Linked DNA regions of Struthio camelus. The protein of the gene in region 1 interacts with the protein of each later gene in a pairwise test. Links are inferred from orthologs where the notes say so. Each region holds a gene or a part of one and is shown on either strand. Other genes may lie near its edges.

Region 1 (16,237 bases):
TTAAGTGCAACAAATAATAAGATGCAGAGGGAAAACAGATGTCATGCTGGATATGAAAAAATACTTGTATTTGATAAATATCCAATGACCACCTGTCTTTCAGGACATGATTTTCAATTAGCTGGTTTGTTGATTTTTTATTCCTCTGCTGGAATACCGGATTTTGTTAAAATAGAATTTTAACTTGCAAAAATAATTCTTCATGAAAAAAGTAAAAACATCAAAACAGAACACTCGCTCTCTTTAGGAATGCTAGTTATCAATAACACTCCTGCTTTTACTAACACAAAACAACTGGCATGCACATTATTTTCAATGAAATCTGCATTTCCAGGCTCTGAGTAACATTAGTTTAGAAGTCATAAATCTCTTTCCCCTCTACAAGTATAGGAATCTTCACACAACTCTACTTTTTTTTTCCATTCAGATCACACCCCACCTTCACATTGGTCTAGCAATGCAAGTATGACTGGCAGGACTGCACAAAGAGCCTTAATTAGGGTAGATGAGAATTAGGCCCTCAATCTAAAGGACCGAAGGAAGAAAGATAGCAATATTTTAAAAAATGCTGCATCATTAACTGCTGTACAGAATTCTGCACAGAATATAGGACTTCAGGGATTAAATGCTAACAACATGCCAGAAGTAACTCAGACAATGACAGTTTAGGTAGGTTTTCAGTTGTGTCTGGTAAAAGAGAAACCCTATCGTTGCAAGACTATACACTGATCGTCCAGCCACTCCAGAAGATTTCCACATAAACTCGAGTATAGTATGTCCTAATGGGCACTGCACTCATTAGTCCGCTCTGGTGGGCCAGGACGTTTATATACATCAGTTCCAGGGCAATCATTTTGTCTTCCTCTTAACACATTTCCATAAAACTTATGACTTACTGTAAAACCACATGGAACAAATGGGAGCTGATACTACAGAGAAGCCTAAACCTGTGATGACATGGAATAAAATAGCTTAAATTTGCTCAGGATACAACTCACGCTCTTGCTATGTGTTATTTTGAATTCATGTATTCAACAAAATGCAGAGAGTTGAGAGCTTACGGCAGGCTATACTAATACTTATTTTGGTCTCTCTAAGGAGAGGTGGAAAGAAAAAGGGCTTTTTTTATTATTCATCAAAGACTGCACCTTTGCATTGGACTAGAAAATGAGTTGCATGATGCAGAAAGAAAAATTTGGTATTATGCATCACTCTCAGAAGACCGCACTTTTGCATGAATGCTAGAAAGCAGTCAGGCTATGTCTATACTGTTCTGTCTCTGAGTTTCCACATCCTGGTGCCTGCTGCAAATATATCCCCACCCAGACTTGGTCCAAGCATACACCATCTTAGCCCCATATTACAGAGAGGAAACCCCAAGCACAAAGGCCAATAGGAGCTGCAATGTATGTCCAAGATTTTGTTCTGATCCCACCTAAGTGGAAAATGATGAAGTTATTTATATGGATTTATTATAAATAAAAAGCAAGTCTAGAAATTTAAAAATATATAGAAATCACTGTATTCTTTTCAATTTCTTAAAATATCTTTAAAAGTAAATAGTGCCATAAAGCAATTTTAAAATATTAATATTAATAAAGTATATATCCCAGTATCCTTGAGATAATACGTTGCAGGAGATGACAAGCTAAGTAAAATAATTTTCCTTCTTATTTCTGCTACCAAAAATTCTCCTTTTAGATTAACAGTTCTTCTTTCTAGCCTATCCGTATAATCACAGAAGTCCTGTTGACTGCTAAGCCTGTGAGAAAAACTTACATCTCAAGTATATGTTACAATGAACTAAAAGACAAATCCTAATTCAAGGATGTTGTTGTTATCTAGTTTTAGTCTGAACTTACGTTCAAATCTGTGGGAGCTTGGCTTAAGGAATAGATCTGAGACATTATCTGGTAGGTGTTATTTTGGTTTTCTTAGATGTAAATAACGCAAGTCTAAAGTCTACCAGGATGACAAGGATATAAAAACTCACTATGTACAATACGTCCTCAAAACACTCTTCCATACTTAAATAATTTATAAACAGCTTAGCAAAGATCACAACATTCTTAGCACAACAGGCTAGCAAAAGTTACATGCTTTGCTCTGTGATCTGCTCCTCCAGTCGGCTACGGCACTGAAGGTTATATTTAATACAGGAGAAAACACATGATACCATAGCAGATATTAAATCCTAGGATGATCTGACTGTTGTGAACACTGTACATCATTTAAAAGTTTGTATTTGAATTCAGTTAAAATCCTTCTTTGAATTAGAAGCTATGATCAGGTTTACAGAAATCATAATTATATAAAAAATACTTTGCCTACTATGCAGTAATTATATGTCTACATGGAGACCTACTTAGATAGTTTTTGGTTTAAAAGAAGCCTTGAGAGTAGGGAAGACATTGTTCCTTGGCTAAATATACACACATGCATAAACCAGCAACCTTCTTCTAATTATGCACAGATAGGGCATACAGAAGAATGCTTCTGGTCCTTAGGAAACCAGTGGTAAGACAATTATTTATTTCAAGGATAGAAGGATTGGTTTCCTTACCAGAGAAATGATTTACATGTCCTGGTGCAACCAGAATACACATTTGCTAACTGCTGATCATCTCTCTCTGCTGCAAAAATAAAATATTATTGACAGAGCATAGTTTTCTGACCTTTTCTGTTCCTGCCTTTCACTACCTTCGGGCTCGTGACTTTATATATAAATACTGTCCTCTGTATTTGACTTTTAAGTGCCGATCTTTGGCTTTTGTGGCTAGTAACCACATCCGGAAGTTGCATGGTTGAAGCATTGGCGGCCCTAGCCCACAGTACCCCACACAGTAATAACATTTCTCATAAAACATTTTGATAGTTCTTTATTAGTTTAACATCTAAAACATGCTTGCATTTTAGATGTTAGTAGTTCTAGTTTGGTATGTGACTTGGGGAGAAACATGCCATGCACTTAACGTCACATCATTACCGTACATAATGGGTTTTGCTATTTCCAGTTAAAGTAAAATTCCCTTTTTTTTAAAGAATGAAGTTAGATAATCCATATTCCATGTCATTTAAATTGTCTTTGCTGAGACTCTCCTTATACAAGAGAAGTTGTAGAATTGCCTTCCTCCTGAAAATATATATATTTATTTATTTATTAAAACACATCAAAACTGCCTTAAATAGTTAATTAAAATACATAATTTCCTACAGTGAATTGACTCAATGAATGGTCCTATACTTAGAGAATCCACAGCTAGGTTAGAAAATGCTTTAAGATAAAGAAAAAGACAAATACCTAAAATGCATAGAAATTACACGATAACTCAAATTAGTAAAGCAACAACAGATCATCCAAAGAAAATACACTGTAGCAATACAAGTGTATAAATTATTCAAAAATGCTAAACCTAATACTACCTAGACTCTTATAGTATGTCTCCAATATAGCTTTAAGTGTATTTTTTAAATGGAAAAACAGAAGAACAAAACATGTATGTGTACTTCCTATGGTCACAAAGTAAAAGTATGGCAGGAACAAGAAAAAAGCGTACAATCTCTCACATCCTGGGTTCGTCCCACATCCCGACTGTCTTCTGGAAAGCATGCTGCTTCAACAGTCCTTCAGGGCAACTGTAAGTGATATTTTCCATTCAACAAACAGGTGCTACTAGCTTACTCCAAGTGAGAAAAAGGGAAAAAAAAGTTTCATCTTAACAGCTCTAACAAAACTCCTATAGTAAAAATCGCCTGTATCTTAATGATAGAGAGATAGACACACACACACACAGATAGATAGACAGAAAGAAAGAAAGAAAGAAAAGGGCAGAGAAACTTCTAAATGAAATACTTCAATGTGTTTCCTAAAAACATCATTCACTCCCCACGACTCCTCATTAAGCATGAACCCCTGAATTTTAATTCTCAATTTAAATGTCATAATCTATTACATTTAAGTAGCCTAAGAAATGACGGGCCCACCTATTTAAAAGTACTGGGGCTCATTCTCTACTTCTTCACGCTCATTCAGTGTCAGTCTATAGAGTGATGAATCAGGTCCTCAGCTTCCCTATCATTTGTTTTTGTATGACTAGGTTACCATCACCTGAATTTATGTCTAGAATACTTTCAACATTTATACATATTATTTAAGTTCTAAACAGTTATGTTTTTTTTTCCTTTAAATTAAATCCTGTGCTACAGAGAGGGATCGGGGAGGCTGACTGACATTATTTGTGGTAGGTGACCGGTCTGAAAGTTTCTTTAGCCTCTTGCAGTTTGTTGCTTGGACTATTAAGGGAAACACAATTAGAGGTGCAGTCCTACTCACACTAAGATAGTTACCTGGAAATGGTAGAAATGATGAGAGGAGACAATTTCTTCTACGTATACAAAAGATTCTCTCTGTAACACAGCCCCAAATGATGTCAGCTGTCAAAATCTGCCTAACGATACTCAGCAAATAGCTGTACTTCTGTATAAGTGATATCTGATATCTTTGCTTAAACTGTGTACAGTTATTTTTGTTCTAATTTTTTTTAATATTGTCCTAGACTACAAGAGACACAGTGAGCAGTCAGAAATAGATTGATTTCACTTTTGAATCGAGTAAGTGTTAAAGGTAATGATATAGCAAAGGATGTATAAACCATCCACCATGGTTTTACTAGACACTGCAAGATTCACTTTCCTCTTCTTCTCCTAGACCCTGGGGAAAGCACTTCAAAAAATGTCTTAAAAAAAATATATATTTACTATCTATATTTTTTAAGGGAATACCTCACCTTTGAACACAACAAGCGATAACTAACGCGCTGCGTTCACCGCGAGCCCCATCGCGTGGTCCAAGAGCAGGCCCTGCTGTGAGCGCTCAGCCCACGGCCAGCCCCGAGGCGTGCCGCCCCGGGGAGGCTGGCGCTGCCCGCCGCAGCACGACGCCCGGCCAAGGGACCTTCACCCGCCCGCACGGCGGAGTGCTCGGGGCCGGGCTCTTTCCTTCCCTGCCAGATCAACGAGGCGGCTGGGCAAGATGCAGCGAGGTGAGGGGTGGTGAGATGCGGCGCGGTGAGGTGAGGTGTGGTGTGGTGCTGCGAGGTGCGATGTGGTGAGGTGCGATGCGGTGCGATGTGGTACAGTGAGGTGAGGTGCGGTGCGGTGATATGTGGCAAGGTGAGATGCGGTGAGGTGAGATGTGATGAGGCGCAGTGAGGGGCGATGTGGTGAGGTGAGATGCGGTGTGGTGCAGTACGGTGCGGTGCGGTGAGGTGCAGTGCGGTGAGGTGAGACGTGGTGAGGTGAGGTGACATGCGGCAAGGTGAGATGCAGTGAGGTGCAACGTGGTGAGGTGCGACGCTGTGCGGTGACGTGAGGCGCACGATGCGGTGTGGTGGTGATATGCAGTGAGGGGCGGTGAGGTGAGGTGCGATGCGGCACACTGAGGTGAGGTGAGACATGGTGAGGTGGGGTGTGACATGGTACAGGGAGGTGAGGTGCAGTACGGTGAGGTGATATGCGGCAAGGTGAGATCCAGTGAGGCGCAGTAAGGCGCAATGTGGTGAGGTGAGATGCAGTGAGGTGAGATGAGGTGCAATGCGGTACAGTGAGGGGCGATGTGGTGAGGTGAGATGCGGTGAGGTGAGGTGCGGTGCGGTGCGATGCGGTACAGTGAGGTGCGACGTGGTGAGGTGAGATGCGGTGCGATGCGGTGCGATGCAATGTGGTACAGTGAGGTGAGGTGCGGTGCGGTGATATGTGGCAAGGTGAGATGCGGTGAGGTGAGATGCGGTGAGGTGAGATGCGGTGAGGCGCAGTACAGTGAGGTGAGGTGAGGTGCGGTGAGGTGAGGTGAGACGTGGTGAGGTGAGGTGCGACGTGGTGAGGTGAGGTGACATGCGGCAAGGTGAGATGCGGTGAGGCGCAACGTGGTGAGGTGCAACGTGGTGAGGTGCAACGTGGTGAGGCGCGGTGCGGTGCGGTGGTGATAGCAGTGCGGGGCGGTGAAGGGGCAGGCGAGGCGGTGCGGTCCTGTGAGATGCCATGACGGAAGGGCGCGGGGCCGTGGGGGGAGGTGCCGTGAGGTGCTGTGCGCGGCGCGGGCGGGAGCCCGGCGGGCAGCGGGGGGGCCGCCATGGCGGGCAGCGCGGGGGCCGCCCGGCAGCCCCAGCCTCACGGGCCGCCGCGCCGCGCCGCCGCCTCCCCGCCCTGCAGCTCCCCTCCTCCAGCACGTGCAGTATTCCCCGGGCAGCAGAGCCCGGCGGAGAGCGGCTGTCCCGCTGGCGACCGGCCCGTCCTTGCCGCTGCCAGGAGCGAGTTCACCCCCTCAGCCTACCCCCCTCCCCAGCCCGCCGCTGCTTCCTCCGGGCGTTGTGCCTCCCACCTGCCCGCTCCTTACGTAAGGCAGGATCCGCAGCGGAGCGGAGAGGCAGGTTAGCCGCGCACAGACACACAGACAGACACACACACACGCTCCTGTGAAGGTGCCGATACCTTTTATCGAGGCAAGCGATCCACTCGCCGGAGGATGCGGAGTGGGAGGTGTGAGCAGCGACCATGTTGGGCAGGGATCAGACCGCGCTGCGGCCGAGCTGGCGGCGGCTGGCGGCGGCGGCGGCGGCGGCTCCCCCCGCCCGCCGGTCGGTCGGTCGCTCCGTCCTGCCTCGCTCCCGCCCTCCCTCCTTCCCTCCCTCCGCGCGCGGCGCGATGGGCTCGCCCGGGCCCCGCCGCCGCCGCCGCCGCCGCCGCCCGCCCCGCCGCAGGCAGCGGGTGCGGAGCGCCGCGTGGGCCGCGTGTCCGCCCGCGTGGGCTGCGTGGCGGCCTCGCGCCCCAGCCCGCAGCGCTGCGGCCCTCCGGGGAGGGCCGGGGCCGCGGCTGGGCCAGAGATGCCCTTGACCGGGCTGCGGGGGAGTACAGGCTCTTTAATTGTAAGAAGTAGCTCACGGGTCTTTTAGCAGCTCCGCAGACTGCCGTGCCCCCCGCTAGCCCACGCTAGCAGGATGGAGGGAAGGTGTACTCCTTATCTGAGGAGTGTTTGGGAAGCCTTCCCCCAGCCTGCCATCCATCCCGTGCTCTTCCGCGACACCGTGTCCTGAAGGCTCTGGTTTATTGTAGGTGAGGATTGAGCAGAGCAGTGCAGCCTGTGGATGGGACTTAGCAACGGGGAGGAGCTCAGCATGCGGCAAGAGAAGGGTAAGTCTGGGGTACCATGTAATACAGCCACCTGGCTCTGTGGCCTTCGCCTGGCCTGCAAAATGCAGCTGCTTTCAGGGTGCTAGTACAGGCGTAATTGGAAAGGTGATGAGCAGAGCAGCAGGTCTCCCTGAGTGCCAGGTTTTGCAAAGCTCAGTGTGAAATGTTTTCTACAAAACATGTCAGGATCTAGATTGTATCTTCCCAAGTATTTGTGTGTAACCATAAGCTTCAGCTTAAGAGTCAACACAGCCTGCCTTGAGTAGCATGGGAGAAGGGTAGGGAGCTGCACAAAGCTCAGCAGGATGTTTGAAGTTACATGCAGATGATAGCAAAGTAAAACTAAACTGTGGCTTCCTTCAGGCTCCTAACTCCTCTCTGCTTTATAGTGTGGACACAAACAATTAATTCAGATGCCAATAATCTGACAGTGACTTCCCACAATTCTCCATGAGCTGTCTTCTTTGCTCTCTGTTCTAATGTCTTTTGCTGCACCAAGTATCACTTTCTCATATACATGCACTACTTCACATTTCACATCTATGTTCAACGGCCAAATTTCTGCCACGGCTCCTTCAACACTTTCACAGAAATAAATGTTAACATCAAGGTTCTGATCAGTAGGATCAAAAATCTAAGGAAATGTATCTAAAATCCCTTGTGCTAAAAGGACGTGCCTAAGAAATGAGCAGAGGAGACAGAGCAGAGGAAAATGGCACAAAAGCAGATTCTTTTATTTTGCCTTTAAAAAAATTAAAGTACATGCCAGAGGAATGGAGGAGGCCACCAGTCACTGAGATCAAAGCTGCAGCTCTTCCTTTGCTGCAGTCCCTGGTGGGGAAAATGAGAAATTCTTGCATCTAAGCAAATCAGTCTACTTGAGGAAAATCAATGTTTTTCATTCTTCAATATATAAGTGTTTGGGAGCCAACAGCAGAGCAAGAGGTTCAAGTGTAAAAAATAATCTAAATTCCCAATGATTTATAGTGTAGTATGTACATTATAGGTGACGCACTAAGGCTCACTAATTTTGCACTTCCCTTATAGAAGGTTAAACACATTATTCTACATAATTGCAGTTTTCCTTCCAGAACAATCACACAAGGCAGCCGTTACTGCCCTTGCTCCCCACAACGCACTCCAAGCTGTAGTAGATGCTCTTCTTACTGACATCAGGCCTGTGAAGCAGCCCAGAAGTCATTCCTAGCAAAAGGCCTTTACTTTTTATCATAGGCTGTTTTACTGACACAAACAGCATTACACATACCAGTAGCAGCGATTTTGTACATAACCACAGTGTAGCTTAGTCAGCAAAATGCTGCTGCTGCAAATGTTTAGTGTTCACTCAAGCCATCTTCTGCCAAGTACTTTCACATCTGTGTGATGTTCAGTGACCCAACCACTAGAGGACAGACTAGGTCTCCATAAACAGCAGTAAGCAGGGATACTTCCTTGGTAAGCAGAAGAAAGCAGTCCCTGCTTGAAAAGGCAAGACCTTTGGAATACTCTCCTGGGATGCAATTTGTGGTAAAACCTGTGTCGGTGCACATGCGCCTACCCCTGACAAGCAACCTACCTGCCTGGGACAGACCCCTGCAGTTCCCAGTACTTTTGGTCCCAACGCAGCGCATGTAGGTGTGAGAGGATGTTCCTCAATTGCCTACCTGTAGGCAGACACTGCTCAGAGATGTACCTTTTTGTGGAGTGACAGCTGTATAACATGTTGTGGATTATGCAAGCTAGACGGGCCCTGATTAGGCAAGGAATAATGACATGAGGAACCCTGGGATATATCCATACTCCACTCAGAAGTGGCGTCTTATACAGCAGTTAAAGCAGGACAGTCAAAATATACCTATGGCAGTTCAATTATGAGTAATTGTGTAGATTTCTACTTAAGACGTGAGTGAAACTCCTCAGAGAAACTAGTGAAGCAAGGAATAAATAAATATGTGATGAGTTCAGATATTGCCTCTGTTGACGAGAGTCTCTCAATTTGCACAGAAATGTCAGGAGCTCCTGACTGCTGAAATCATAACTCCTGAACCCGGCCCATGGCATGTTCTCCTGAGGTACAAGCTACCAAATAAGCAGTATATATCTCATAGGACAGATAACCCAAGTCAAACAGAATGCAGAATATCCTGTGACTCTTGAGAACTCAGTCCATAACATGTCATTTAAGAGCAGTGGTCTTACGTTAATGGGGTCGAGTGCTCACTTACCTACTAGTAAGAGCATATGCTAGAAGCAAAATGCTGAAGTGCACTTCATTGCTGTCAGGACCGATCTCCTCCTGGTGCCTCATAGTGCCCATTCTTCATTACTTTTCTAAGCTACACACTCATTTGAAAAAGAGAGGACCCAAAGGATATTTGAGACTCAGTTTTGTTAGTAGCCAAAAACACACTCATGCTCAATCTCACCTGTTTCTACACATTCCTTCTATTACACCTTTTGTGAAGTTTCACCTGAGAAAACATGAAGGATGATGTACCATTAAAATGACTGGTGATGAATATATGTTTCTCAGAAATGGATTTTTATTTTTCAGCATTTGTGGAATTCCACAATAACGTTGCAGATTTAATTTTTTTCTCTAGAACAGAAGGCGAATGGGACATCTTACAATCCGATTTTATGAGACTTCACTATGCAGCCAAAAAGTTGGGATGGTAACTGCTCCCAAAGCAGACAGCTGCTGAGAAATGGAAATATGCCAGCCGAGATATCTGAAAGATCGGCTAGCTTTTTAATTTTCCACAGTTTACAAAGGACTGACAGGGCCATACTGAAGCTCTTAAGCCAGGGTAAAACAGAAATCAGCCAGCCTCCAAGTTCTCCTGTCCCTCTAAGACTAACAGTCAGAAAGTGCGGGGTCCAGACTGTTGTTTGTGTTATGGGACATAAGGCAGATCACACCATATTTCAAATCTCAGCTATTTCTTTGCTTTTTCTTCCCAATACAAATACTTATTCCTTTACTTTTTCACTCAAACAAGGCCAAAGAACTCTTACTCAAAATCTTCCAGAAACCAGGAGCCTACTAAAACTGAAAAACTTGATCTGAAAGAGTAAATGATAGTTGCTAGAGCTTGAAGAAAATATTTATTAAAAGTATTTATTAAGGTGTGCACAGTAACAGGGCATGAAAGAGGTCTACTGTGGAAACCTCTTTACGCTATTAATTATATCATGAACTTTCAAACAACTGTTAAACTGTTAAAAAGCAGTAAGGCTTGCTGTATTTTTACAGCAGTTTTGGATGCTCTATATACTATTCTATACTATTGAAATTGCTGTTATGATGTAGTGAGGAATTAGTGGATGCAGAATCTGTAACCTGTCCTTTGGCATCACAGTGGTGAGCGCACTAAAGCAATTTTATTTTGCAGCAAACTCACTCAAAACCCCAAAAGCTCAGTCCTCAGTTTTGGCCATCTGTGTTCAGGAGAGAACCTAGGTGAAGCACAGCTGGCTCCCAGCCACCAACGTACTCCTCTGCTTCCTGTATCTGTTGAAGTATTGCTCAGCCTCAGGACTATTCTAATTCAGACTAACCGAATTGAATCTAATTCATAGCGCAAGACATTGGCTACAATCCTTTGTCCCTAAAATACAATTGGGAGACAGAGTAAGATAAGGCCAGCTCCACCAGCTTTAAAGCATTCAAGATTTCCATTTCTTGTGAGGAGTCCAGAGTTAGTCACTTAAGCTAATTTTAAGCATGTTTTTTTGTTGCTATACTGAAGTCAAGTTAATTAGCGTAAGCCCAGAATGAGCACACAGATTCTAGTTCAAAGAACAGTTTAAGCTAACGTATCACTTAAAGATCCTGTAAATAAAAGTCAGTATGAGTGAGTGTAACAGAATTATGATGCAGATTTAGAATCTAGCAGTGTCACTTTCAGCATGGCTGGGGTTGTGGGAACCAAATGTATTACCACTTGTACAGCTCCCATTGACTTCAAAGGAGTAATCAAGATGTAGCAAAATAAAGACAGGAGAGTTTGAGTTCTTTAGGGATTTGTAAGCTGCAAGCACTGCAGAAGATGTGATGCTATGTGATGTGCAAAACCAAAACCAATGCATGTATTAATAACGCTGTCCTGTGGAGCCTACAAGACACATATTGAGTCTCCCCTCCAACACAATTCTTTCGACCCGTCATATAACATAGCAAAGACTTTTTTAGCACAAGTTAAGACCTCCTCCTTCCTAGACCGTTCCCTGCTCCTCTCTCTCTTGCTCCTGTCCTCCTCATTGATTCAGGACCCCTCCACAGTATGCTTCATAGCACCTTCTTCAAAAAGACCATGGCACTATCAGCCTTTCCCCCTGAGCAAGTGACTCTAATCCCACCCATTATTCGGGAAACCCTTCTACCATACTTCTTGCAATAGCTCTACCATGATATTCCAGAAAAGGTGTCAGTATTGCCTGCAGCAAAACAGGTGTAAGTGGGATACAGATACACAGTTAGCAACAGATATACTGGAAAGAAAACATACAGTGTCCTATATAGTAGGCATAGCATGAACACAGGTGCAAGACAGAGAAAAGGCAGTACAGCTGAGCCAATTTTTATGTGAAACAATAAAGTTCATATTCTGAGGTCTTTAAAATTATTTGGCAGTTTGCTGTTGTCTTCAGCTGGGCTGGAGACAACATTTAGGAAACATTTCCTAAATGGCTGGAGACAGCCATTTAGGAAACTGGCTGGGCTGTTTCCTAAATTCCTGAAACCAAAAGAGGTAACTGGACTTACAGTGTATGTGCAATTTTATATATGCCATACCTGCATATGCAGATTTTCTGAGCAGAAAAGGATTGCTTATCCATGCATCATGTATAGTGCTGCATTTTGCATCGTTTTACTCATCCTAATTTAACACTGGCCTTCTCTTAATCAATGTGAAATAAAGGCTTATGTCATAGTAAAGGCCAGCAACAGGGAGCATTTTATTAGTTTTATATTCCTTGAAATAAAATTCTCTCAAATTCATAACATTAATTACAATACATTTGTGATAACATTTCTCACTAACAAAAAATGATGCAGCAGTCACTTTTTGTATTATGACTTGGCACAAGTTTAGCAGCATGTTGCACTCAAATGCTATGAATTTTTTTCCAATATGATGACCAATATCAAAACCTTTCTGTGGAGTGGCATTTCGAACAGATGGTCATTTGATTTGCACACCTGAAATCTGAGCCCATATTCTGGGATGAATTCCAAAAAGACTTGGAGAAACCACCCAACATGAAATAAGCTTGACAACCTTATGGATAGGCATCCATCTCATATTTTTACTGTAACTACTTTCTTTTTAATAGGAATTTTCTCCACACGATTTTTGTTAAATTCTTCTGGATTTATGAAACTAGATGAGCAGAGGGAGGTATGAATGGGGCTATTCTGCTTAATCTGCTTCCTCAGTTATGTCAAGGCCTAATAGCTGGGCTGGGAATTCCTGTTCCCATTCCTATTTCCATTCATATTCATATTTCACAGGAAAAAAAAAGCCTATTAAAACAAATAAATAACAAATTCCAACTTCCTTACAAGAGTATTGTAAAGATTAATTAGCTGATGAAGTATGCTACTTTGCAGTAGATGCCCCACTTTACGTACATTATTCTTTAATTTTTTAGTGTTTAGATCTACAGACATGTTAACACCCTGGGTTTAAACAGAACTTTATACACACAGCTCAGGACAACGTAAGGAATTTCAAGATGATAAATATCAGGAGAATACTTTGCAGTTGCCCAAGATACGAGGCAGACTGGGTCTCGAGCCCTGTTAATGTCCCTTTTCAACACAACACCCAGGAGGCAGTAGAACTTAAGTGCCACACTGGACCCCGTGGCCTGCCGCCATGCTCCTTACCCTGGGAGCACAGCACAGGTACCTCAGTGCTTCTGCAGGTGCCCAAATCAAACTGATCAGCTGGGGCTGAATCACAGACCTGGCCTGCAGGGTCTCTGGCTTTCTGTCCAGTCATAGGAATAGGTTGCCTGGAGTCCCAGTCTGGCTCTCCACACACCACAAGGGCCTGGCAAGTATGTCATTTCAGCTCTGCACTACCTGAAAGCAGCTCTGCTGCTTCTGGGCCTGGCCAGACCCTGATGTTGACAAGAGCATGCACTGGGAGGCTCCACTGTACCTTATCTGCTCTGCACTGTCAGCTCAAGTGTCTCGCTTTCGCTGGGACGTACTTAACTTACCAAAGCTGATGGAATTGGTCATTGGATTATAATTATTCCCTCCTCCTTTCACCCGAGCTACAAAAGCAAGCAAAATTCTTACTTTCTGTATGTGTAATTCCATGTCCATATTCCTTTATCCTTCCTTGCCAGCTTTGCTGTATTTCAGTGAGCCTAAGTTTTCACCAAAGGCTAAAAAGAAAGGTGGTTTTGCTTAGTTGCAGAGCCAGATGAACACATTTCTAGCTGTCTGGTCCAAGTTGTATCTTGTCAGCTTAGTGTTGTCATTCTGCTAGACCCACATGGATATACTTCTGGCAGGAACAGCAGCACTTCATGGCCTGCCCCTAAATTTGCTGCAGCTGCTATTAGAGCCATTAGGCTATCATGATTTATTTTCATCAAATGGCTAGTTGTCATCATTTTACTGGATAAAGTCCAAGGCAAGGCCTGGGACTTCCTGTAAGCAAGGCAGCCCATTAGATGTCCTTGTGGTTACTATCTCCAACAATAGTTTGAGAGAATTTATTGTAATGATCCTCTCTAAGTCCCTTAGTTTCATAATATTGATCTTTCTAGATGACATTCAAATAGATTTCATCTTCAACCTCATTTGATCACTGTAAGGAAATATCTTTCATTCGTAAAGTTTGCTCCCCATTTCTCCCAGCAATCGGTTCTAGAAATCAAATATATCTGCTCATAATTCTTTTCACAAAAGTAGTGGTGATGCATAGGTATTTAAAAAACAAAGCCCTTTGATCCAGTGTTAGGATTCTATTTATCTATATTTCTATATTGTTCATGAGATGTGTGGCATAAAATGCCATTTGACTGCAATCACCCCATTTTCCTCCATGATGAGTTATAATTCATGAAACAACCTCTCAGCAGTAGAGACTTTTATTTGCGTGAGCAACCACACAGAAAATCTACCACACCTCTCTTTGGAATAAAGATTATTTCAGTGGAAAAAGGGACAAGATACTAAGATTCTTGGCAAACGTCCTGTGGCTCACAGGCGTTTCAATAGCCTTCTCTCTCTAGCTGTAATTCTCACAGTGCCTGTTTGGGTTTTTTTGCTTTTTTTATATAGAGGTGAGTGGCCTTAACTGTCTCACAGATTCCTCCTTTGTAAAACTGACATACATAAAGAATTATCTTCATCATAAAATAAACACTTCTAACAAGCTTTGTCAATGAGTCCCATATAACTGGGACATGTAATACAAGACCTTACATGCAGCAGTGACTAGTGATCTGCAGTGCTTAAAAACACAAACAAGAAACAAGTCCTTTAATTACTTTCAGCAAATTCTATTTTTTAGTCAAGAATATAGACAAGTATAGGTCCAACTCCATAAAGTGGGGTCCTGGGGCAGCCACTCAGATAAAACCTACAAGTGATTTCAGTGCAAGCAATAATTCCATAAATTCTTTCAATGAAAGTCAAAGACATTCAGCAACTCTACGACTGTCCTAATCAGGTAGTCATTGTTTAAGCTTCTTAATTACATAGGTGTTCTTCACTACTCTGAGAAGGACAGGATTGTAATTAACGTTATAGGAGTACTCTAATGAAAACATACGGAGCTGTATATTTACTTATACAGTGCAGTAGGGCCTTGTTATAGCTGAAGAACAAACCAACTTCAAATGACAGAACATGTTTATGTAACACTTCATTATGCAGCTTCATATATATTCAATGCAGCTATTCTCTTCATTACTGTACAGTAAGTAAGTTCTTTCTGTGAGGTTTAGTTCACAGAGGTAAAGGTTTAGTTTTTCAGAGAGCCTGCTGGGGGCACCAACACACACCCTTAAAAACAAATAATGACATTAGGCAAATAAGACAAATTCAATCATCTGTATGGTAAAAATGACATAGTAGGCCCCAGATTTATATAAAATAATTTCATACTTCAATTTTTATAGGCTTTTTTTCACAGTTTTGAAAATATACCTTGCAACAAATCTGCTTGCAGGCTTATACATGCAAATAATTCAGACCAAATGACTGAGGACTGAGCTGAATACAGCATAGACAGCCCTAATAACATATTCAGGCTGAGAAATAAAGGTGAACCAATTGGTAAGAGGGAGAAAAATTTGTCATGGCTGTGGGCTGGGTCCTGGCTGGGACAGATAGGTGACATTTGTTGCTAAAAACCAGACTGTTGTGTTGCATAACAGGAAACCCAGCTGTAGTAGCCCTGTAGTCCAATAGCAATCATGAGGTGTGTAAAAGCAAGAGGAGAAGACCTAGCTAAATTAAAAATATGTTAGTGATTAGACAGTAACATAAAAGCAAGCAATAAATACTCAGTTTGAAGTATGGGGTTTTTCACATATAAGTCACATGGGTTCTACAGTAAATTACACAAATCTGCAAGCTCGAGAGTACACTATAGAGTGTATAGCCAGTCTTTACAGAGCTCTTCAGTTGTCTTCAGTGTTCTCTGATTTTCCTGAAGGAATAAAGTCTTTCCATTTCATGTCCCCTGAAATTACCAGGTTCATGCTTGAGGGCAGCTTTTTAAATTATCTTGAACTGCCCATTTTTATAAATGCTTCTTTCATAGTGGAAAGGAGGAAAATAGAGGCAAGATGGGAAGGGCAGACAAACAAAAGCTGAAAGAGAAAGCATGTGAGAGGCTGGCACAAAAGAGGGTAGGAGGTGAGCATCAGACTGGAAAGAAAAGAGATTTCTCGATCAGAAGTTCACTAACTCCAAATTTGTACAGGATCTGAACTTTTCAAAGACAAGAGAGAAGAGCCTGTTTGGAAAATTCCATGCAGATTAAAAAAAGTGAAATTACCATTGGGAAAGTAA
Region 2 (16,459 bases), on another chromosome or scaffold:
ACTGGATTAGTCTCACTCTGTAAATCATTCTCCTGGCTTTCTATGAAGAAAAACAAAACTGAAATACACCCTTCCCTTGTGACCCACAGGTTGCGCAGGGATGACCTAGTGGAGGTTATTGTGGTAGATTCTGTATTTAAGAAATATTTTCTAGAAGGAGAAGGATCAGGGCCTGGTACAAATAAAAGCAGATATGCAAAAAAAAAGTCAGAAAAATTAGTTTCTAATGCCGGCCAAAACCACCAGTGATCTGTAGAAACACTAAGCTGTGTAACAGAATTTTAGACTATCTGAGTGCCACTGAGGCAGGTGAGTTTTGCTATTGACTTGAGGAAAAAGGCTCTGTCCTTTTCAGAAAGGGTACCAGTTTTCAGTGTGCAAGGGGGTAGAGTTTTGTCTTGGTTTCACAGATGAGACGAAAAGCTGCCTTTCCTCTTGAACTACCATATATGTTAACATTAACAATTATGAACAAGCAAAGATAATGATGTAGAACTAGCCTCATGCTTTGAATCAGCTGTCTTTGTGGATGATTACAATATTTTGGTGAATGTTTTCTAAAAACAGAGTGCTCAGAAAAATAATGTCTACTACAGTGGGATCCATCATTATTGTTTTACTGTTTATATTTGAATTTCTTGGTCACTCTCTTTTCAAAATCGTTACACAGGTTTTTGTTTTTTTTTTTTTAATGGAGACATGGGAAGAATATTAATTACCATCTCTCCCTGCTTAAAGCCTGTTTTCAGATCTTCATAAAGCCAACAAACTTGCTGCTTCTATAAAAAGAAATTTGATTGTGTATCTCCTGGGGTTAGTGTCTTTCCGACTTATCCTAGCAGATCCCCTGAAAAAGCTTAATCAGTTTTGTCTCTCTTACCACCTTTAATAGATATAATTAACAATTTGGGGAAATTAACAGTAACACAAGGGCATGACTATGAAAGGACAGCAGTGGAAGCAAGGCTTTATAACTTTGATCTGTGCCTTTGAAACCTCCGTTATTTTTTAAATCAGAATGGGAACATGAAGAGACTGTGGGAAAACATCACATGATAGGCAGGGCCATAGCACATTATTGACTGCTTGGAGAGATGTTACAGTAATCAAAAGGTTTTAGGCAAAGCACTGAAGTGGTTTTGTGGATGTTTGTGGGATGCATGGGACACTATGGGAGAAGACCCAAAGCTGTTTGTTTGAAAATTTAACTACCAAATGATAGAAACTCCTGTAACTGATGTAGCCTTGGATTTAACTGGGGAGTAAACTTCAGCACCTTGTCATTCCCAGCTCATGATCTCTTCACCTCTTGCTGAAAACTCATGAATTGCTAGCATTACTCTGTAATTTCTGTAGTTTCCGACTTGACAGGCCTAAGCACCATTGCGTCTTCCCAGCTACAGTTCTGGGAGTCTTCCCCATCCCATGGGGCGACACGAGCCACCCTTCCTTCTCATGAAGCAATATGGGAGGAAGAACAAGGACATTCAGCTGTCCCTCCACCCATACAGAATTGTGTCCACCTTTGATTGTCAGTCTGAATAAGCCAGCTTTTCTATAGTCGCTTAGGACTAAGCACAAATGCACAGGAGCACATTCAGTATCTCACAGGAACCAACATGCTGTCAATCTATCTGTGCTAGATATACAGAGAGCTGCTAAACCTCTAAATTTAAAAAAGCTGATACAAAAATCCAAGAAGAAATTGGCATTTGCCTCCTTTTTTGCCTAATATCTAAAGGCATATGATTAACATGAACCCATCCTAAATACTCTTTAGTGACCAGTATGACAGACGTCACAGGGCGCTAGCAGTGCATGCTTTGCTGTGCAAGACAAATGCGTTTCTGTGTTGCTACTTGATTGATTTTTTAATATTGCAACAGACATCCTTCAAATGATTACAAAATGTTATTAAGTAACATTAAACCTTACCAGCTAGACTCTGTTCTAGGCTGAAGCCCTTCTGTTCCATTAATGAAATCAGGCCTTAAAGATGACACAAGCAGCTCCAAGTGGATTAGATAAAGGAAGTACCCGTAACCAGAGGATCCGTCTTCTGTAAAGGCCTTTACTTCATACTTTGCTCACCAAAAAGCAAAGAAGGCACAGCTAGAGGGTCACTATCTATGTGATTTCCATCTATGGTTGGTTTTTTTTAGTTCTTCAGCTTCTGCAAGCTGAGAGGAACTATCTCCATGCAGAACACCACTTCTAAAACAAACTGGTTTTGAACCAAAAAGGATGCAGAAAGATGTGAGACAGCCACCTTATTATGCTGCCAAGAAACGCAAATGTTAAATAGCACATATTTTCAGTGTTTGAACCACTCTCACTGCTCAGCAGTGGAGCATGTAAATACATACAAGCATCTCTTTCTGAATAAGAAGTTTATAAAGGTTTTTAAGATAAACTAACCCAAATACAGTGAAATAAGCTTTCCAAACGCATCAGCCAAAGATGTCTGTGAAACGGGAAACAGTGCCGTCTTTCTGGTGTTGGAACACACCAGAGCAATCTCAGGATTGGTCTAATTTATGTGGATAAAATCCCCGCAGTGTGCACCTTCACTGGAGTGCATTGCCATCTCATGGCACCTTGCCTGGGTATAATCTGTGGTACAACGTTCCCAGCAGGACAGGGGAGGAAGGGAAGCTGCCTGTGATGGCTATATGTTACTACTGAGTCTCATCTGCTGGGAATCTCTAACTTGGTCTTCCAGCACTGGCCTGTAATGGGGCCCTTTTGGCCTAATCTCCACTTCAGATTCAAGAACAGTTGAAAAGGTGGTCTTTGCAACAGGTATGGCAGCTCACCTCCAATACTGAGTCACCATTCAAATGAAAACAACGAGCAAATTTCATGACATTTAGTGAGCAAACACATCCCAGAATACTGTAGTTCTTTTGCCAGCTTAAATGGCATCAAAACTCTTCCTTTGCAGCTTTCCAGCATTTCTGCCTGCTTGTACTGACTGAAACTGGGGCATTCACCTTGAATTTTGAATTTAGTTCCAGACCTCAGGGAAAAAGAGAGAGGAAGAAAAAGAACAGCAGAAATATATCTGAGAAGTGTGATGTTCAAAAGGACAATGAAAACTGATTTGTTTCCTCGTGGCTATTTCCCAGGCTTGGCACGCAGTTACTTAACCAGGGCGTTATGAGTCCCTGCCAGTGGCAAGACAGATGATTCTAAATGAAGCCGTGCACTTGGTAATGAGGACTGACCAAAATGCTCGAGTGCTCTGGTTCAGAGCAGGCTCCCCAAGCCTATATTGTAAAGATCATTTACCGAGAAGGCTGTAACCCCTTTATTATTACAGTCTGTCCATTCACAAGCCTGACTGCCTTTTACATGCATGCACTAGAAAATGCATGAGTTGTTCTGTATATGGTAAGAAGTCATCTTTACCATATTCTCCACTCCTAGAAAGTTCCCTTCTGTATGTGAAGAAAGAGCCTTCAGCGTCTTGTTAAAGGGACACCTTAAAACAATCTGCTTCATACTTTGCATGTGAACCCACTGGAGATCATTGCACCCTCACATTGTAAGGCTTCAGATCCTCAGCTACTATGAGCCAGCATAATTCTACAGATGATCTGGCTGAAAGAAGCCATCACACAAAATAAATTTCCATAGCACACTTCATTGCCGTGAAGTAACTCATCTTTGTTATGACCAATAATCAGCAAGTTTTTTGTACCACAGATCTAGATGTTAGCACAGAGTACCCTTTCCATTTAACAAATCAAATAGAAACTACCTAACTTCCAGTATGTTATTTCTGTAACGGACATAATCAGGATGCACATTCCCCTGTGATGTGACTAGTTACACTACAGTCAAATATACAGGCATTGGCCAGGGAATGGCACTCTACTGTGCTGAGTGTTGTACAAATACATGACAAGTTCCACCTCCAAAAAGATCCTGATTTAAGTTATGATAAGACACAACGAACAGTCAAAAGACAGTAAAAAAGGCAAACGCATATGCAGTAACGGGCACCTGCTTCTGTTAATGCTAAGCATTTCATATTTAAAACAATGGCTAATTGATGACATTAGGAAAAAAAAGAGAATTATGATTTTCCAGCTTCTTCCCAGAGTTTCTAAAGACTGTTGTCACTGCGCCATTAAATTTAGGATCTGTGTTGTGCAGGAGCATTTAAAGCAAATAGTAAGACCTATTATTTTTAATCAACTCAAAAGCCCAATTACAAGTCAATGTTAATATTAAAATAGGTAAGAGATGCAGGACTCATCTAAAACAACTAATGTAAATAGCATTTCTACAGTATTTCAGGAAAGTTGAAGCCTATGAGCAAACAGATCAACTATTCAAGCAGCAAAGTCTTATTATAGTAGATTTTTAAGGTGACTAAAGAACAAACGGTGGTCTCAAGATTACTTCCTATTCTATATCTAAGTTGTTATACATACACACACACACACACACACACACACACACACACAAATATTCTCACTAAACTAAATCTAGTGCATAGAAGGGCAACTCAGCTGCAGAGTCCAGATGCAGAAGCCTCGCCACCTTGGCTCTAGTCCTGCCAATAGCCCCTTCTGGTACCCGGTCAAGTTGCAATTTAGGTGGAAACTCAATGTTGAGCACACGTTTTTGAGCTGATCAGTCCTCCCTCTGTCTCAGTGTTCCCTTCTGCCAAGCAAACGATCTTTCATCCAAACCTTGCAAGACATATAACCCTTCTGTCACCTCCAGGTACCAGTTATTATTACAAGCTCTGCACTGCACTCAGCCTGTGAGCTGACTCTGCAACAAAACCAGACTTATTTATGAGAACAAGAACAGCACAAGGCAGCCAGGGAACCTGCAAAACTGTTGCATGTGGCTGAACCAACCAACTCAGTCAACAGCGATTTCAGTCTTCAATTCCATTTCAGAAAGTGAGTAGTTATTCAGTCCTGAACCCATGCCAGGCACTGCAACAAAACCAATACCGCAGCTGAACCATCAGAGTGGGAGACTTACACCTCTCTGTCACCAGCATATGGTATGTGATAACATATGCATGAAAAACTGAAGCCAGAGGTAAAGCATGATTCCAGAACATAGCCTGAGGAACACAGCAGCGTTGGAAAAGTCTGAACATAGCAGGAGCACTGGCTAAAACCTGCTACCAGGATGCTGCTAAGCTGCAGGATGTCACAAGGCATCCATGCGAGACCTCACGATGTACATCAAAAGATGGATGGTGATTCAGGAATACCAGCAACCCCAGTATCGACCTCGGTGAGGATGTCACTATGCCTATTACACAAAGCTTTTCTTCCCGGGGCCTGATCAAACTCTTGTGGAAACTTAGAACACATTTTTCTTTGTATCAGTACAGAGCTTTTTGTGAATGTCTTTCTAAGGTTCCTTGAAAAACCTTGGAAAAAAAGCCTTTCTGGTTAACTTGAAAATGAGAACTGGTATGAGATACTTCTGCCAATAAAACAGTAACTGATACCTTAGAGAAGACGGAGTCCCATGGATAACTTGAATTGACAGCTACTGATCTTTGTAACTACTCTCTCCACCAGCACTTTGGAAAGGAGGCATCAACTGTTGCTTTCTGACAAATCATGATTTCAAGAAAAAAAGCTCTTGCACCCAAAGAGCTTTTGCTGAGCTCCTGAATACCGTACAACCATTGAGGGAAGGAATGCAGGGCAGCGCTCCTGCACCCTCCGCCTGGGAGGGCAAGAGGGAGAACGCGCCTGCCATCTGTGCCTTTCCAACGGCAAGTACAGCGAAGGCTGCCGGTATTTATAAAACGCCTTGCACTAAACCCCACCTCGCAAGCGACGGCGGGGAGCTCATGTCCCCGGCATCCTTCCTCAGCTCAGCGCTCGCCTTCCCCGAGCAAGGTGGAGGCCGGGAGCGCCCGGCGCCGCGTCCCTCGGCGGGAGCGGACCCGGCTCGGCCCCCGCCGGCCGCGGAGGGCGAAGCGGTCACCGGCGGCGCGGCGCGCCGCGGCCCAACGCCTTTGTCGGCGGGAGACAGCGGCTGCTCCGCCGCCAGCCGGCCCCGGGGCAAGGCGAGGGCTCGGCCGGCCCGCGCCCCCCGCCCCGGGGCACCCCCGCCGCCGCCCCCGCCGCCCCGCGCACTCACTTCTGCCCAGCGCCTCGGCCGGCCACGCCGTCTCCTCCACCGCCCCGTAGCGCCTCAGCGGCTTCTCCGCCTCCGCGCTGGCGGAGATGGAGCGCCGCAGCTCCATGGCCGGGCCGCGCCGGAGCCCGCAGCTCACTCCATGCCGCCGGGAGCGCACGGCTGCGGCCGGCCCGCGCGGCAGCGGGCGGCGCCGAGCTCCCGCCCCTCTGCGCGGACACGGACCCGAGCCCGAGCCCGCGCAGGGGAGGGGAGGGCAGGGGGCCGGCGCGCACATGCTCAGTGCTCGCGGGGCCGGGCGAGGCCGGGGCACAGCGCGGCGGCGGCGGCGCCTCCTCCTCCCCCCCCGGGGCGCGGGGAGTCGCCCGCCGCCCGCTGCTGCCCCGGCGCTCTCCGCCAGCTCTGCCCCCCGCCGGCTCCCCCCCGGCTCCTGCCTTCCCGCGCCCGCACAGCCGCGCTGCTTCGTCTCTCCAGGGTGGGCCAGCCGCACGATAACCGGCTCCCATCCCTCCCTTCTGCCCCGAGGGACAGGCTGGCCTCGAAAGGTCCCCGGCATGCTGCCGTGCAGTTCAGAACTGTCGACTAGCTGTTTTCGTCTTTGCCCTTTCCTTCCCCCGGGATATTTACTCCCGTTGAATAGGTGCAGCAACGCAGGCAAGCAAGAGTTAGTGAGCGTGCTGCTGCCACAGCGCCGAGGTCGGGCTTGTCTCGTCTCGTTGTGGCGAGGGCAGCACTGAGCGCATCTCCTGGCCTGAGCAGCGCAGGGGCGCCAGTAAGCTCCGCAGGCACCCTTGGCTTTTGCACTAAGACACGTTTCTGGTGCAGTTCGTGCAGCCTTTGTCTTTCCTGAAAGTCCTGCACAGAGTGGTGTGACACCCGTTCTGGCTTCATGTTCGCAAAAGCCAGAGGACAGCACCCAAACAAACGATGTGATTTTGTGTTTCTCATAACCGTATGTATTTTTCATAAACATGCAGCTTCACTGTTCATGCAGCCTCCTGGGATTAGAAGAGAAGGAAGTGACTATGCAGGAAGCACAAGTGTGGCACTAATTATCGTTGCCATTATTAATTTTTTCTTTTCATTTGTGGTAGGAAAGGTTTTATTTGTATGAAACCACTGCACAGCATTTTACAGTTGCAGAGTGCCTTTACTTGTAAACTCCCATTGCGTTTTATTGTGAGTGCTATCCTTACTGCTAATGTAGAGAAGATGAAGCAGGAGTTAGGCCGGTTGCCCAGCTCCCCACAGCAAGTCAGTGTTTTAGACGTTGGGACTCCCTGTCTGGTTCATGAGGAGTGATGGGGTACTGGCAGTGCTGAATGTGTATTGCGTGCCTGAAAGCTTGTCCGTTTTTCCCATGCCTTTGCCTATAAACTTTATCTTGCTCTTTAACCACCAAAGCTACAAAAGCACTACCACTATTTTCAGTGGTATACTTACTAAATGGACTGATGCACGTTGCCACTAGGTTCATGAGCAGTTTTGTTTTGCTTTGCAGGGGGCTTGCTTTACATTTTGGGAGAAAGACAATATCGATTTCAAAACTGTTACTCTGAAAATGGCTCTCCATGTTATATTTGTATGTGTGTGAGAATTGGAATCAACTGCCAAATTAAAATGACTTGGACGTTATCTTAGAAGGTCTTCTGGGCACTGCAATTTTTCCCTATCAGCTGTGCTCCCCAGGGGTTTGCTGTGATTTGACTACCAGGCCTCCTGGAAGAGCTCTTGCTGACTGCATCTTTGCTGCTTTTGACCTTTAGAGATGGAGCCCAAACAGAGCTGTGAGTCAAGCAGAAAAGCTGGTGGCAGTACTGTGCACAGCTGATTTTGGGTGACAGTGCAGCTGCCTGCTGGGGTGGGCTGGACTGACTCACTGTAGAAGTGAGGAACACGAGCGTAGGAGGAAGACAAGAGCCCATCTGGGATCTGGATGAGAGTTGGACTAAGGGAAACAGACTTATTAGGGAGAAGGGCCAATTTCTGGTGGATCTGGGCCTATTTAGCTTCAGTCCGTCCCTTCAAGTACTCTGGGTAATTATAACCAAAGAAGTGCTTTGTTTAGGAGATGGTAGAAGGAGGCTAGAAATGATCACATATTTTAAGCCCTATATTGGTTAGAATGGAAGAAAAACACCCACTAATTAGAAGGTGGGATGCACAGTTTCCTTATGTAAAGCAAAGAATATATACGATGATTTATTGTAACTAGAAAGTTTTCACCTGCCTTTTTGAAGAAGTCATAAAATCCATTAAGGGCCCAGCCCTGAAGACAGTTAAACATATGAGCAGGCATGTGGGAGCAGTCCCGCTGAGTTTATTTGCACAGTTTTTGCAAGACTGGGGCATAGTATGTACCAATTATGTTGCTAATGTGCTAAGATTAACATTTCTGCTGTTGTGATATGAGGGCGTTTTCAGTGCTGCATTTGCAAGTGGAATTAAATTTCTCCCCTACTGATGATGCCCTTCAGTGCACCTCAGCAATATAAACACATTCTTCTACTCAGAAGGGTTACTTTTCTTCTACTGAAAGCACTGTGAAGGAAGAAAATATAAATACTCCAGTCTCTTCTCACCGCTCAGAAGATAATGCCTGGCAGAAACACACAGCACTGTTTCTGCACTTTGCTTTTGCAGTCAGCTCCCCCGGCTGCTTGAGTTCCCTTAGTTCTTTACCCATTTCTCAATTAGGTCCTGCCATCAGGAGCTATAGCTGGTCTACTGCAGTTGGCACATCTACTCTCCTATCTATTGCTCTTTTGGCCTCCATTATACAGCAGTGATCTCCCACGACAGGCATGACACTATATATATGGGGCATGCCTTACTTGGGCAAAATTTCTAATGGCAGCATGGCTTGTAAATCAGCTGAGGGGCAATGGTCTTTGCTTTCGTGTAGCTTACCAAGCACCTGAGACATCTAGCTTGAAGCTGTCCTGCCTTTGTGGGCACATCTGGTACACCAGGAGGATTCTTGAAAGCTTCTTCGTGGGTCTGGGGTGGGCTACAGTGAAGGTAAGAGTCAGGGCTGTTGTTCCTTGGCAGACAGTACAGTCATTCTAACTCAAAAATAAGAGCAAGTGTTAACATTCTGCCCAGAGTTTTCATTTATTTATAATAAAAACCTGCCACTCAACTGATGAAATAAAATGAAATGAAGTGGATTATGCGTAGTTATTCCATTTGGTATGCATAAATTCCTAGACCCATACCTTATAGGGACAGAACGGGTACTGTCCTCATGTAATCTGACTGCCAGCATAGCACAGGTTGTGAGACTCCTATGAATCTATCCTATATTTTCCTAAATACCAAGTCTTGATTCAGGACATTTATACATCAGAGGATCTACCACAATTCTTTGATATTTGATGTCAAGGTTAATCTTACTTCCCTGTGAAAATATCGTCCTGCCTCTTGAATCTTCAGCATTCAACTCTTAGGGTTCTTTGCAGTCCCGAATCCCCACAGTTTCCCCAGCTATTCCTGGTACCCTGTGCATCCCCCCAAGCTGTTCCAGCAACACACAGGAGCCTTTAGGGGCGTCAGCCTCCACACAGTTACTGTGTAGCATTACTGTGCTCTCTGTCACCTCAGGATCACACCTACTGAGCGCCATGTGCATGGCACAAAAATGTCCTGGTGCAGGTGAAAGGCTGTGATAGAGTGTTACAGGCAAATGCATACCTGCTGGCAAACCTGATAGTCAGACACATTTTAGAAGGCACACACTTAACTTCGTGATGCTCTGTGCATTGTAGGATTCGATGCAGCAGAGCAGCTGTGGGCTGCAAACCTACGCAAGCCCTGAACAGGATGGTGGTCTTGTAGGACACCAGCCACGTAAAATCATCTCTGCAAGAATGAATATTATCTGCGCTTGAAGTTCAGCGAACTCATGACTTTTTCAGAGACTCGGCTTTGTCCGATGCATCATAACCTAGACTAAGGATTGTCTAAAACTGCTGTAGCTAAAATTCCCACTCCATGTTGTTGGTGTGGCACATGGAGGGGCAAGTGGGCAAAGCCTTACTCAGCCCCACACTTCCTTGCCGGTGAGGATCTGTGCAGCTCTCTGGCTACGGCTGGAGCAGCGGTTATAGGGGCAACACGCTGTCCTGGGAGTTGTAGTGGTAAACCTGTACCGTCATATGTCACCTTTTTCTGAATCGCTATGACCAGTCTATAGAGATAGATGTACGTCGAGGGGGAAAAGGGTTCTCGTGTGTTAGTGTCCCCAGCCTGTGTTGTAGCACAGCATGAGCTTGTCTGAGTAGATGGGACCCTGGTGTATCATGAATTCAAGTAATCATAGTATGAAAATCAGGTTTGTGTCTTTCTAACTATTTCTTAGGCATTTGTATTGTCATTCTCCCTAAATGATCAATATTAGGCAAAAGTTAATCTCATTTGCTTTTCAAACAGTTATAATGAAATATTATTTAATTAAATTGAAAATAGCAGGGAAAGGGATAGCTAACAATTACAGGAGGATCCTTCAACCAGAAGATACTTTCCTCCTGCTTGTTTCCACCTTCAGTTCTGTGCTAGCATGGAAGTGCCCTTGGAAGCCTTGGTCCTGCCGGTGAGCGCTTGGCTGAGGCTCGGCTGGGGTGCGGGGAATCGGCCGTAGCACAGCTTGTGCAGAATGAGGGCCTCGATTCATAAGCCAATGTGAGTCCTTATGACGTTGTTTCCTTTTTTCTAAATCTTTTCTGATTAGAAAAAAAAATCTTTAGTGACTGCCCTTTGTTTACTTATTTATTTATTTATTTAGACTTACAGCTTCCCCAGACATTAACCATTCCTTTAAAATATATTTTAGGCTAAAGTAACTTCATAAATAATTCGCACTGGCTGCAGCTAAATAGCTAGGATGTTGGTCCTTTTCCACTGCTACCCTGGCAGGATAGAAAAGTACATCTATAGCTTAAAAGCAAGCAGGCATTCCAAAGAGCTTATTAAAAGGTGAATGAGGTGCCTTGAATTTAATTTCATGACTCTGAGGTAAGCCGGTGATCCAACTATTTGAATGTTCATAAATATTTCTACCTAAATGTTTATTAGTGTCATCTTATTCTGATTTTTGAAATTTTTAAATTAATGCGTCCAAATGAAATATGAGTGTAGCGCTGATTTTAATGTAGTATTAGCTGTTTTATCAAGCATGCACACGGAAAAAAATGACAATGTATTTAACTTCTTACTATTTCTCTGTAGCTGAATTTCTAGTAGAACTATGGAAACAAAGGACAAGCATTTAATGGCAAACGTTAGTGAACCACGTGCGGCTAATTATGTGCTAGATGTGACATGCTTCACCTCGTCTGAGTTGAACTATGCTAAAGTTCTCTGTGTCCTTGAAATTGTTTTTCTAGGGAAAATTTACTATTTTTTGAATCACTTCATATTCCTGCTTATGATTTGATGTCTGTGTGTGATAAATGTTAACTGGCAGCACTGGAGCTACAGCTTCTGACTGTCCGGCTACTATTTTTCTTATTCCATATTTAGAAATCTGTCCAATTAAGTAGGCTCTGAGATAGCAAATATTTAGATAATACTAAGTAGAAGGAGCATTTAATTGCTCCAAAAAAGCACTTAAAAGTACTTAAAAGCGCTTAAGAAGTGGTCCCCATACTTGTGGCTTGTGTGTTCAATGTTGTCTGCAAAGCTCTGTCATTTGATTCTGGCTTTATGCTGCTGGGGTCCGTGGCAAGAGGAAGAGCTGCGAGAGCTTGCCCCTGGCCTGGTGCTGCTCCAGGGGGGGTACCTAAGGCTGGGGACCAGGGGCTGCCAGTCTGCTCCGAGTATCATGACAGACCCTTGCAAGATGGAGCTCCCAAAACACAATCCAGGGTGGATGAAGCTTGTAAAACTTTTGGCTAGTCCAAGACATGTTTCAAATGAAGCTGAACTGATAAATGATTGTAGATGAAAACAGTTAATGGCCTGTGCTTGGGTATGCCAAATTTTTAAGTGCCTGTGTTTGAAAATTGGGCCTGCGCCTGTGCTGAGCCTATTTGCAAAAGTTCCTGGGAGATTAGTAATGGGTAGCCCAGGACCTTCCATTTATTCCGATTTGTCTCAGCAATTTTCTGGATAGATGGTCAGAAGAGACAGCATAAACTCAGGAGGAGATGCAGTAACAAAAAAGACAGGGCATATATGGCTGGTAGAGAGAAAGGAAACAATTTTCATGGGGCAGTGGCTGTAGCTGTGACCATAACACAGGTTTCAGAAACTTCTGTCTCTAAACTCTTCCATCCCATTTTAGTTTTTTTCTTAATAAACTATTTCTATATTCACTCTCCTTTTAAGCTACAAATTTTACAGAAGAAGCTGTTACAGCATCTGTCAGATACGTTACTAATACCACAGGTAGGGAAGTCTTCCTTGCAACAGGCTTATTTTTTGCATTCGGAGCCATCTTCAGCGCAATGACTGAACCGGCTGTTGTGCCGGTGAGTCGTTATCGTGCTGGTGGCTTTGGAGTCAGGGACGGTGGCCACAGCCACACAGCACAGATGCTTGCGTTCAGCACGTTTAGATGGTGAAGTAAAGGGGTCTGCGCCCTCTTAGGAGACTTGCAAATACACAAGACAATAAACGCTATTGAATTGCATATGTAACAGTAAGCAAAGCACTGTATAGGTAATTGCCGTATAAAATCAGGTGTAATTATTACACGCACATAACCATTCATTACTGTATTATGACGATTATGAGCTAAGCATACAACTAGAGCAACACCTTTCAGTGTCACTGGCTTACTGGCAGACCAGCTGCAGCTAACAACCTTTGCTACATTTTGGATGTAAAAGCATGTGATGCATCATATGGAAGTAGCTAAACAGCCTTAGTAGTTAAATAACCATGGTTTTACTTCAAAAAGAGATTTCTAACCTGCCTTTTGCAAACCCCTGTAAACGGCGTTGGTGTGTAGTCCTACTGCAGGCTTCCTCGCTGAACTCTGCAGCAGCTTTACGTTGAGCTGTGGCTGGGGGCTGGTTAGTGGCAACGGGGTCGGCTGAGAACAGCATGTGCAGGCAGACTTTGAGAGGTAGCTTTCTCAATGTCAGAACAGAACAAGAAAAAGGAAAAGACTAGGGATGGAAAATGGGGAACTCCAGTCAAAAGGCTTGTAGATTCTTCTCTGAATATTGGTGCAATGAGAGGGAAGCTGCTTTTCTGACAAATCACTCAAGAAGAAATAGAGTGAGGGTTTGTTCTTACATAGGCACACACTTAGTGCATACCTTACTTATAGTATATACTGATTCCAGACAAGTGTGTTTTACTTTACCCGGCCACAAAATTATACCCTATAAAAGGACACACAATTCAGAACAAAGCTGACACTTCCTCCACAGATAAAGGAGCTCATGTGGCGGAGAACTTTGTGTGCATGGTTTGTGAGTCCATATGGCCCAGGCACTGTACTTATCACAGCCATCTGAGTGCTTATGCATCTTACATTGATTGTAACTGCATAAAGTACAGCAACGAAACTGGGAACAGCATATCTCCACTCTCCCCATATCCCTGGTGACTGAACTATCTATTAGGCTACATATTCATGCTCCTTCTTGGACTCTGATTCAATCAGTCTGGACTTCTACACCGCAAAATGGAGAAGAGAGTGACTGCACCAAGAAACTGTATTTAAGGTTTTCTCTTGGCAGACAGAAAACATTACATTCACTTACAAAGAGCATCAGCTGAGGGTGAGCGCAGACTCGGACCTGCTGTCTTTTTTTACCTGTTGTCTTACAGCCCTGCTTGACAACTGTCTTTCCTGGAACCCAGCGCATGGAGAGGCCCATCCTTCTGCTTCTGAACTTCTCTCGTGTACCTGTTGTTACGGCAGAGCTGTCCTTGACGGTGTCTTTTCCAAACATGCTCCGGAACTCATTACTCTTCTCTGGTGCTGAGATGTCTCAGCACAAACAGCTGTACTTGTTACTAGTGGTGTATGTAGGGGAATGATGCATTTTACCATGCTCTTCGCAGTGAAGTCACTGTTTTTCTATCTAGATATACAGTGCAAGCCTTTGGGCACTGCCAGTTTAAAGTAATAAACTGCAAACAAAAAAGGGAAAGTAGTGTTTGCCAAGGCAGATGCTGTTGAATAGCGTATGCAAAGATCATACAGATATGTAATCAGCATTCTTTGTTCTTGCTTAAAATGGATTCCCGTAACTTTGATCATTGTGGACAGGCAATTAAACGTGAATTCTCAGAGCAATTTTGAAATTAAGACAGAACATACGGTCTTTGGCTGCTTAAGCACAGCAATACCAAGCAGAAGTAGAAAGAAATATTATCTGTGAGGCGTGTGTGAAACTGTTATTGGGATTAATTTTTACAGGATTACTGTCTACTTTTCAAAGTGGAGGTTGCACAGCAATAAAGGCTTCACAAAAGAGTTTCAAGAATGATTTAGCATAGGACTAGCAGAGCTAAACCTATTTAGCTTATCTGAGGAATAAACAAAAACTTGAACAGTTTACTAATACATGCACACAGAAGGCTCTTCCTACCGTATCAACTCTTTAGTCAGAAAAGGCATAACAATATCCTGGCAGAATGCTAAAACTAGGTTGAGTAAGATTAGCTAGACAGTGATAAAATTTAACAAAAATACACAGTCAGTTGTAATTTCTTAGGGTTGTGGCAGATTCTCCGTTATTTGAAGCCTTCAGATACCTTTCTGAAAGGTATCATGAGACTCATGAGACATTATTGCCTTGATTCAGTAAGTACTAGGCAACGCTCTTTGCCCTACATTATGCAAAGGTTCAGACTGAACGATCATTTTTGTCCCTGTTGGCCATGAAGACTATGAAACAGAATTTTTCAACTTGAAATCTTTCCATAAATCTTCCTCCTCGTTCTAAATATACAAGAACTTACAGCAGGGAATGGAGCTGTTGTCTCTCTTCCAGTTGTGGAATACATTACTTATTTCAGCCTTAAACCTACTGGACGGTTTCCTTCCCAAGAATATCACACTCAAACTACAGTGAGTGCAGTCCTTTAATAAGGACCCCACTGCTAATCTCTGTTCCTGAAACCTTTTATACATTTTTCCTACCTGCATTTCCCAGTACCTTCTGTGATTATATTAATTATCTAAACACATAGTAAACCTGAAGTTTTACCTCTTTTTAGTAAGAGAGCAATTAAGTCCAGTGGTAGTGGCCTTAAAGATGGAAGTTCTGTTCTGAATTTGTTCCGAAGTGGCAGATGACTTGAAGTACGTCATTAACCTCTAAAGGTAGTGAATAATCCCTGCTTACCTTTTACCCTGCTCCTGGGCTAAGGCCTATGCTGTGGGAGGTACCTCTTTTTCACGTGACATCAAATTGAGCCCTTTGCGAGTTCTTTGCTGTTTGTGATTCATGAGGATCCTATGGAACTTTGCACAAGGACATGGATTTGTTTATACATACATTAGTTGAAGACAGAGCCAAAGAACAACATTTAATGTTTATTAAGCCTTTTCAAAAATACAGTCAACTTGAAATTCACTGTTTCAGAATATTCAAATATCTCTTGCACATTTCACTGCACTGGCACTAGCAGTAGAGGCAGCAGCACTAGCAAAAAGCATTGGCACTTAGAGCAGAGATGCAGAAGCTGCATAGATTTCAGATGTCATACCCTACACAGAGAAGTTACCCATCAGACACAGTACCAAACTAAAGTCAGACAGTTTCACCTTCGCTGCAATATGAAACTGGTTATTTTATGCATTTGTCCTGATTGGTTGTTTCTGGTGTGAAAAAGATGGAGGCTTTCTGGTGAATTTTCCAAGCCTAGAAGTATGTGTTTCAGATACCAGTAAGTACAGGAGGTTCATTTACGCTGAAGATTTGCAATAGAAAAATACATTTCTAAATTTTCATTTTACCAAATTCAGATTTTAAATCTTCAGAGCTGCAATGCAAACCTTCATGAAGCTGCAATGTACCTGATAGGAATTTGTCTCCTCAACCCATTTGCTCTTAGTGAGGTCCCATGAAATGGAAATGTCACTTGAATACATTCCCAGTGGCTACTGGCAGAGCGTTCCCTCCCTCCTGAGCACCTACTTGATGTCTAATTCTATTCATATCATTCTGGTTATTGAAGTCTGCAGTGTTCATCTGGCATTAAGATCAGTGCAATTCTGTTATATGGTCATAAAACTCAATTTTCTATTACTGTTTTTGAAGCAGAGAAGGAAAAAAAAGACAGGAGGACAAGCCTCACCCTAGCTCATGTTTTCTGATGAATGTTCTCTATTACTGAATATTAAACTCCCATTGTAGAAGCAAGC

What was found.
Region 2: the proteins of RAPGEF4 (region 1) and BMERB1 interact in binary tests that used the Homo sapiens proteins (3 or more experiments, as listed by UniProt). The link is inferred for Struthio camelus from reciprocal best matches to the Homo sapiens genes RAPGEF4 and BMERB1.

The regions. Positions count from the first base shown.
Region 1 is NC_090947.1:22,440,819-22,457,055, forward strand, and holds the start of RAPGEF4 (rap guanine nucleotide exchange factor 4), read right to left. Parts: upstream 6,657-16,237; 5' UTR 6,555-6,656; coding exon 6,490-6,554; intron 1-6,489.
Region 2 is NC_090956.1:11,641,527-11,657,985, forward strand, and holds the start of BMERB1 (bMERB domain-containing protein 1), read right to left. Parts: upstream 6,412-16,459; 5' UTR 6,407-6,411; coding exon 6,133-6,406; intron 1-6,132.